Linked DNA regions of Callithrix jacchus. The protein of the gene in region 1 interacts with the protein of each later gene in a pairwise test. Links are inferred from orthologs where the notes say so. Each region holds a gene or a part of one and is shown on either strand. Other genes may lie near its edges.

Region 1 (4,139 bases):
TAAGGGCACTGCTCCCTGTGTCAGGGCCTGAGTAACCGCCCCCACCTGTAGACATCCAGCAGGTGGGGGCTCAGTGCAGGGCCTCCTTCCTGCCCCATGTGGTGGGGCTGACCAGAGCCAGGAGGACTTGTTGGGTGGATGTCCTGGGCTGCCCCTAGTTCTGGAGCCCCTGGGGGCTTCTCCTTGCCCTTTGGGGGTCACCATCTCAGCAGGAAATACCTGAACCTCCCCTCAAGCAGCCCCCCAACATCCCAAGCCTCTGGGGAATGGTAAACAGGGAGGGGAGGGAGGGCTGTTGCAGCCCCTCAGCCAGTGGGAGTCCAAGGGCCACGGGAGCCCCCAGCCACTGCGTAGTCAGCCCCGGGCTGTGGGAACTCTCAGTTTGCTTGTGGTTTTGATCCACATGGCCCCCAGATTGCCCTTCTAGGGTATGGGGATCCAAGCTCAGGCTGAGAGCCAACGTTCGTCTAAAAGGCCAGAGCTGCTGTCCCTGTCCCCAGGGACAGAGGGGCTGTGGGCTTGCAGGCCCAGCAACTGAAACTCTGGGGTAAAGGCTCAGCCGTGCCCTGCAGACACTATGGGGCAGAGCTCAGACCTGTGCATCTGTCTCTTGCAAACCACTGTTCTCTCTGTTTTATGACCCACCCCCGTAACACCTCCGGGTTTAAACAACGTGCATCCTTGTGCGGGTCCCCTCCCTGCAGCCGGAGAACCTGCTCCTGGCCAGCAAGTGCAAAGGGGCTGCAGTGAAGCTGGCGGACTTCGGCCTGGCTATCGAGGTGCAGGGGGACCAGCAGGCATGGTTTGGTGAGTGCCAGGGGCAGGAGGTGTTGGCTGGCAGTCGGCAGAGCAAGCAGTGGTGCCGACAGCCCCTCGTGGCCTCCTCTCTCCAGGGTTCGCTGGCACACCAGGCTACCTGTCCCCTGAGGTCCTTCGCAAAGAGGCATATGGCAAGCCCGTGGACATCTGGGCATGTGGTGAGGCCTGGCCCGAGTGGGGGTGGGGCGGGCCTACATCCTGGAGCATGCAGTGACCAGCACACGTTGCTCTGATCTGGGTTTATCTGCGTCAGGCCTGCCCTTGAGCTGCCCTGGAGGGGGTCTGCCTACACAGCCGGGAGCCCCCTTCCCACCCAGGTTAGAATTGCTCACATACCCTGGTGCACCCCAGTGCTCGCCTGCGCTCAGCAGAGGTCTGGTCCAGAAGTGTGATGGGAGGACGGGAGTGGAGAGGAGAGGTCAGGGGCTGTCGGGCATGGGCAGGGCCACCTCCTTGGGCCAGGGTCACCTACCACAGAGGTGGGGGAGCAGCAGAGGGGGTTGGTGTCACCGCCATCCCTGTGATAGTGTGGGTGTGGGGCAGGGTATGGGGACTGGCTGTGCCTTTCTGCCCCAGTGTCTGCTGCACAGGTGGGGGCAAAGGAATGCTAGGGACCCCAGTGCCCTCCCAGGGCCACAGGAGCCAGGCAGTGAGGGCACAGGGCATGGGCTCCGTGGATGGTGGCATCCTGTGAGTGGCCAGGGTGCTCACAGGCCCTGTCCACAGGGGTGATCCTGTACATCCTGCTCGTGGGCTACCCACCCTTCTGGGACGAGGACCAGCACAAGCTGTACCAGCAGATCAAGGCCGGCGCCTATGACGTGAGTGCACCAGCCCCGCTCTGAGTGCTCCCTTCCTCTGGGTGTGGCTGGGTGAGGGCAGCATGGGAAGAGGCCAGGAGTGAGGTGAAGCCACCTATGGCCAGGTCCTGGGTCCTGCTGTCCCAGACTCATGGCCAGAGATGAAGCCCCTTGGATAATTCTGGCCCCTGCCCAAGAGGGGGCTTCAGGCCTGGCATGGGCACTGTTTCCTTCTGCAGTTCCCATCCCCCGAGTGGGACACTGTCACTCCTGAAGCCAAAAACCTCATCAACCAGATGCTAACCATCAACCCTGCCAAGCGCATCACAGCCCATGAGGCCCTGAAGCACCCGTGGGTCTGCGTGAGTCGCCCTTGATGCCCGCAGCGGGGAGGGGACTCCTAGTGGAGATGGCCTCGGACCACTCCCCTGGCGAGGGCCCCCAGAGGGTCCTATTCCTGACATCCAAGACCTCCCCTGGGTCCCCTGGTGCTCCTTGTGGCCTCTGGCTTGGAATGCACCGGCACGTTTGTGAGGCCTGGGGCTTGGAGGACATTGGAGGGTAGCAGTCGTCCCTTCCTCCCAACTGCAGTCCTGTCTGTGAGAGACAGAGTGGGCGAGGCAAGGGAAGTCCCAGGCAGGTGGGGACACACAGCCCTTGCTGCAATGGTGGCTGATCACGTGGGTACCCTTGGGTACTGCAAACCTTGCTGCCCCGGCCTCTCCCCTGGGCCTCGGGCTCCTGGCTGCCATGTGACCACCCTTTCCCCACAGCAACGCTCCACGGTAGCTTCTATGATGCACAGACAAGAGACAGTGGAGTGTCTGAAAAAGTTCAATGCCAGAAGAAAGCTCAAGGTAAGGCCCTGGCCCCTAGTCTCCGGCACTGCCATGCTTTCCTGTGTCCCCCTGGGCTGGAGTGGTGGGGCCTTGGAGGGGTCCGGGCAGACCGAGGGGCTGCTGCTACCCCCAGGACTGAGTGTTAGCAAGTCCCAGACCAGATGCATCAGGTGAACTCAGTCCAGAGGTGCCCTGGAGCAGGCGCGGCCCCTCCTAGTCGTCTGTGCCACCTCGGAGCACCCCTTGGAGGGATTGTCTTAAAGCACTTGTTGCGGGCTCTGCAGGCAGCACATGTCCCCTGGCAGTCACACATACGCTTTAGTACAAGTGAGTCTGAAGCTTCCGGCTCAGACAGGTTTGGGAGGGAGAGCAGAGTTGGGTGGGCTGGGGGAGGTCAGGGAGGGAGGTGGACACCAGTAGGGTATCTGACCTGCTTGCTTTGGCCAGGGCTGGCTCAGCCGCACCTGGGCAGTCCCTCTCTGCGTGGACTCCGGGCTGGGGCTTGCTGCCTGAGTGCCCTCTGCTGGTCTCTGCGCAGTTCTCCCTGGAACCCCCAGGACTGCTGCCCTTGTTCTGAGCCTACCAGGAAAAGAAGGGAGCTGTCAGGGAACCGAACCCCAGAGGAGCTGCCGTGGTGACCAGCTGTTCTGGCAACCCCTGAGGGATCTTGAAGCAGTTAGAAGCTATAGTTGGTCCACAGGTTTAGGTCCAGGGTCTGTGTAATTCTGGAAACAGGTGATTTATTTCAGTGCGGCTGCTGGGTTCCTGGAGCTCTTGCCTCTTTGGAAGGCTGAGGTCATGTCCTACAGGTGCCCATGAGGCTGGGCGTCTGGGCAGGTGGACGGGGGTCTTATGCTGGCCAGAAGCCAGCAGAGAACACTGGCGACACAGCCTCCATTTTATCTGTGTCTCTCCCCAGGGGGCCATCCTCACCACCATGCTGGCCACACGGAATTTCTCAGGTGAGCCTTTCTTCTCCAGGGAGACAGGCGCTGGCCGCTCCCTGCAGCCCATGCAGGAGAGCACCTCCTTCCTCACCAGTTCCCCCCTCCTCCTCTGCGGCAGGCCCGCCCTTGCCCTCCGAGTCTGCCCTCGGTTCTGACACCCACTGCCCACTTGGCCCCGCTGGGCTCCCTCCTTGAGCGACACCACAGGGTCCTGCCCCACAGCCCATCACCTTCATGCGGGGTCTGTGTCCCTCCACCCCCTGAACGCGAGCATCTGTGCCACTCACTGGGGCTCGCAGCGTCGCGTGTGTCTGTTCAGGCGTCTGTCGGACATCTGTGTGGCCTCCTTGTCATCTTGAGTGCTCTGAGCAGTGTGTTTTGTGCAGGAGGTGGGCAGAGGGATGCGGGGTGATGCGGGAGGCTCAGGGGCCTCCTTCCAAGTTCTGGATGAGCTGTAGCTTCCTGCCCCGGCCGCTCAGGATGAGTGGTTGGGAAGCAAATTCTCTTGGGGGAGGGGGGTCTGTTATAGACCCCCGAGGCCCAGGGCACTGGCAGACCCATCTGGGGCATGAGGTTAGCCCCAGAGTGGAGCCGGCAGCCCAGGCCTGGACAAGCTGTGCCCGTGGCTTCTCCGTCGTCCAACACTCAGTGTGCGAGCGTCTGTGATCCGTCTCTCTTGTTGTACGTTTGCATTTGGCACTCCCCAGCCCTCCCCCATCCTGTTACTTTTGCTG
Region 2 (4,700 bases), on another chromosome or scaffold:
GAAGGTTAACCAGCAAACGCAGCGTGAGTCACGGCGGCACTAGGAACTGAAACCGAGTGTTAGCAGTGCCCAGGTTCACCCTCCGATGCGGTCGGTGAAACCAGAAAGCAGTGACATCGGGTTAAAAAGAAAAAAAAAAAAATAGGCAGGACTGGGAGCCAGCGCTGACGCAGCTCCGCCGCCACCCTCCCCACCCCGCACCCGCGGTGTGCGCCGCCGCGCTCAGCCTGCAGACAGGTCTTGACATCCCTCCCCGTCGAGGAGCTAGGGAGACTCCGGACAAGTCGGGGCATCTCCCTCGCACCTCCCGGGAGCGCCTGCCCAGCCAAGTCTAGCAATTGCCCGGCCCGCCAGCGGAGACGCTTCCTCTGAGGCAAGCCTGGACACTCCCCAACCCCTCTGGGTGAAACGAATTCCAAGTGGCCCATTTCAGCTCCTCGCCCCTCCCACTTCCAGCAAAAAAACTTGGCAACTCTGCGGTCCCTTGCGGACCAAAACCTGTAATTAGCCCTTTGTGCTCCCTGTAAGGGGCAGTCCTGACTGGAAAGTGAGGAGTCAGACTCTCTCGAAAACACCAACAAAGAACTATATTTAGTTCTGAGCTCTCCGCCTAAATGCCTCTTACTTTTTCACTTTTACTTCAAAACGCCAGGGTTGGGGAAGTGGGAGGCAGGGGGCGGAGGAGCAGCGGAGAAAGAACAGCTGTGCCTTTGCCTCTCCGCTCAATCTCTAAAAATAACCAATCGCAAGCGGAGGCTACTTTTTAGCCAATGAAGCGGCCCAAACTGACAGAGCCTTGGCGGCAGCCAATGAGCAACACATAGGAGTGTGAGACTCGCGCCCCGGGACCAATGAGTGCGGAGTCTCGGAGAGGTAATTTGAGCTACAGTGTGGGTGTGTGGTGCAAAAGCTTCCTACTTCCAAGCCCCAAAACCCGCTCCGCGACTGAGCATGCCCTGAACTGTGGGGGCCACGAGACTTCTGGATTGGGGTGTGATCCGGTCTCCGGGTTTTGACCGCAGCCGAGCAGGGAGATGGGTAGGACCCGAGGGACCCTGCTCCCGGAGAGCTGCAGGTACCACAAGCTACCCTTTGCCTAGTCGGGGTAGTATTTGAGGCCTGGAGTACCTCCCGTTTTCTTTGTCCAAGGCTGCAGTGCACAGAGAAGGCAGAGTAGCGTTTCTGTGGCGAACGGTTTAGAAAAATCTGTGGGGCAGGGACGCTCCGCCGGCTGCGCGTGCATTCCACGGCACCCACAAGCCTTCGGGTTTCCGGCCCCCAGACACGCCCGCCCGGGGCTGGGTGAATGGCGTCCCTGGGCCTTTGATAACGGGAGTTGGCAGAAGCACAGCCTACTCCATCCCTGAGGCGGCCCGCGGCGCCCACATGCTTCTCGCAGAGCCGCCGCCCTTGTGCACCACTCCCATAGCTGTAAAAGAAAGCGGCCTGCTTGCTCCTTATGCACTTTCCTCGCCCCCTTGTTCGCACACACACCCCATCTCCTAGCCAGTTCCTAGACTCGCGCCGCTCCCAAAACAGGACCCAAATCCGGAGCCCCGCCCACGGCCCCGCGGAAAACCAGGAGCGGCCGCTCGGGCAAGGCGCGGTCGGAACGCACTGGGCATGCTCGCCGGGGCGGGGAGGGCCGGGTTGCGCGCGGCGAATAGGAAGCCCTCGCCCAGCAGAGGCTGCGGGAGAGAGCGCGATGGGCCGCGGTGGTGGGCGCACGTTCCGTGGGGACTCATGCCACGCGCGTCCCGGCCCGACGCGCAATTAGCAGCCACCTCCGCAGCCAGCCGCCACCGCCTCACCGCCCTCCCGGGCTGCTGCAGCGAGGAGCTTCTGCCGTCGCCTCGCGCAGGCTGCGGGCATTGTCCTCCCGGTTCGCTGCCCGGGCTGCTGCTGCTGCCGCCGCGGACTGCTGCGGGGCCCGGACCCGCGCCCCAGGGACACGCCGCCGCCGGCCGGCCCGGCGCCCGGCCCCCGCTCGGTGGTTTCTGCCTTGCGTTCTTCTCTGGGCTACTCTCTCCTGGGTTTTTCCTGTGGAGCTGAGGAAGGGGAAAAGAAGTCCAGCAGCCAAGCCCAGCCTTCCCCGGCGCGCAGCCCCGTCGGGGCCGGAGCGCTGACGGAGCCATGAGAGAGTACAAAGTGGTGGTGCTGGGCTCGGGCGGCGTGGGCAAGTCCGCGCTCACGGTGCAGTTCGTGACGGGCTCCTTCATCGAGAAGTACGACCCGACCATCGAGGACTTCTACCGCAAGGAGATTGAGGTGGACTCGTCGCCGTCGGTGCTGGAGATCCTGGACACGGCGGGCACCGAGCAGTTCGCATCTATGCGGGACCTGTACATCAAGAACGGCCAGGGCTTCATCCTGGTCTACAGTCTCGTCAACCAGCAGAGCTTCCAGGACATCAAGCCCATGCGGGACCAGATCATCCGCGTGAAGCGGTACGAGCGCGTGCCCATGATCCTGGTGGGCAACAAGGTGGACCTGGAGGGCGAGCGCGAGGTCTCGTACGGCGAGGGCAAGGCCCTGGCTGAGGAGTGGAGCTGCCCCTTCATGGAGACGTCGGCCAAAAACAAAGCCTCGGTAGACGAGCTGTTTGCGGAGATCGTGCGGCAGATGAACTACGCGGCGCAGCCCAACGGCGATGAGGGCTGCTGCTCGGCCTGCGTGATCCTCTGAGGCGGCTGCCGCGCGCCGGCCGCGCTCTGCGCACAAAAGCCAAACGCATCCGACTCTCTAAATGTGATTTCTTTCTTGCTTTGAGATTGGAGACCACTTTGCATTGGGCAGGGTTTCTTGGGAGCCCTGCTGGCCTCCGCGGCCGGCGGCCCCTGCCTCCACCCTGTGCTTGAGGGGGTGTCCCGTCCTTCCCAGCCGATACTCTGGTGGAAATGTGGCTCTTTGCAGCATGTACGTTTCTCCCTGATTTTGGTTGATGCATATTTCCCCGTTTAAGTAGCCGTTAGGGCGCAGTATCGGCAGCCTGACACTCACCAAGCAAAAGTTTCAGCCTGGGGGAAAAAAACCGGGGAGAGGTGTGGAGGAAAAGGAGGGGGAGAAGGTAGAAAGGGTTTTTCTTTTCTTTTTTCTTTTTTTGGTCAACAACCGTTTTTCTAGTTTCAAGTTTTAAATACATGGAAGGAAGTCCGGGAGAACCACATGAAGGAGCAGGAGAGGAAGAAACTTTTGTTTTTTCCTTGTTTTCCAGGAGTAGCTGGAAATTAAGATCGGGTTCCTTTTCTGCCAGCTTGGAAGGGCAACCCCATGACTGATTGCGATTCTGAGGATGTCTATGCAAAGTTGGATTCTTGTTACAGTGTATCCAATCTGAAGTATTGCACATCTGAACTGGGACTGTTAACACTGATGCCAATACAGTGTGGGGTGCCAGAAAGTGTCTGCTGATATTTGTGGAAAAAAAAAATCTATTTTGTTTACCTACTGTATCAAAGGGGAATCTGGGGGAGAACGGTAGTATTTTTTTTTAATCAGCTGTGAAAAAAATGTTACAGATCTGCACATTTTCGTGTGTACTATGGTATGTGTGTGGTGTGTGTGTGTGGTGTGTGTGTATGTGTATGAGTTTAGCCTTTTTGTTTTTGTTTTTTTGGTTGGCAGTAACCGATTTTAATGACTAGCTTTTTAAAATACAGTACAAAGACTTTGTAAATGTGATTCAGGGCCCCCAGCACCCCTGTGTCTGCAGAGTGCCTTCAAAACTCAGCTGTTCCAGCCGGTGCCAACCTGTGAACTTCCCACCATATCCCACAATCTGCTATTCCCCCAAACCACTTCCCAGTTTCCTTTCAGTAATCTTTCTGAAGGAGCCAGGACAATAGGGCCTGTTGTTTAGTGAATTTCTTTATTATTTTCAGCCTTTAAAATGTAATTTCCATCTTTTGCAATGAATTTGTTTTTTTTTTTTTTTTTTTGCTTCATTTTGTTTAAATTTTCAGGTATCTAGCTCCCCTTTTATATTATTTTTAATTTTTTTATTACCTGTTATAGGGTGTTCCTCCAGAAGCAAAGAGCAAAATTTTACTGTTGTGATGTACCAATTCTAACTAATTGTAATTTTTAATTTCATGCGTTTAATCATTGTCTCTTCATTTTAAGACTTTTAATACAAATGTCATTTTTAAAGAAACAAATCCAAAACTATTGTTTGTGTTTCTGTGTTTCATATTCAGTGATTAATACAGTATCATAGCTGAGGTGGATGGGGTAGGTGCAAGATACTCTCCAGAGCTATTTGTCAAATTTTGAAGACAGAAGTGTCTCAGTGATAAGTTGGATGACATTACTCCCAACTTCTTAAGTTTGGAGAAAATCATCAAGGTCAAGGAAGCCCTGGGTATGGCCATTCCCATCTGATTAGAAGATGAACAGGTATTTTGAATCTGATCTGACATGGAACAGTTTACCTCATTGTGGGTAGGGAACAAGAGAACTCAGCTATTAATATTGCCTTAGATCTGGGAAAGTAACCATCCATCTGGCAAAGTAGGATGGCACTTTTAATTTTTTTCTTCCTTTTTTCCCCCATTTATATTACATGTCATGTCAAAAATGTATTTGGGAAAGATGGTTTTCAATTCTGAAGTCATACCTAGTGATGTTTTTTGCAGTACATTTGAATGGGTTGTAGACACTTGTCTAAACCCTTTTGAGATTTTGTTTTGGAAATAGATTTA

The links.
Region 2: the proteins of CAMK2B (region 1) and RAP2B interact in binary tests that used the Homo sapiens proteins (3 or more experiments, as listed by UniProt). The two-hybrid records come from large-scale screens. The link is inferred for Callithrix jacchus from reciprocal best matches to the Homo sapiens genes CAMK2B and RAP2B.

The regions. Positions count from the first base shown.
Region 1 is NC_133512.1:12,319,490-12,323,628, reverse strand, and holds part of CAMK2B (calcium/calmodulin-dependent protein kinase type II subunit beta), read left to right. Parts: intron 1-704; coding exon 705-807; intron 808-893; coding exon 894-977; intron 978-1,545; coding exon 1,546-1,640; intron 1,641-1,858; coding exon 1,859-1,981; intron 1,982-2,392; coding exon 2,393-2,476; intron 2,477-3,377; coding exon 3,378-3,420; intron 3,421-4,139. UniProt on the Homo sapiens protein: Calcium/calmodulin-dependent protein kinase that functions autonomously after Ca(2+)/calmodulin-binding and autophosphorylation, and is involved in dendritic spine and synapse formation, neuronal plasticity and regulation of sarcoplasmic reticulum Ca(2+) transport in skeletal muscle.
Region 2 is NC_133518.1:32,250,283-32,254,982, reverse strand, and holds RAP2B (ras-related protein Rap-2b), read left to right. Parts: upstream 1-1,692; 5' UTR 1,693-2,133; coding exon 2,134-2,685; 3' UTR 2,686-4,157; downstream 4,158-4,700. UniProt on the Homo sapiens protein: Small GTP-binding protein which cycles between a GDP-bound inactive and a GTP-bound active form. Involved in EGFR and CHRM3 signaling pathways through stimulation of PLCE1.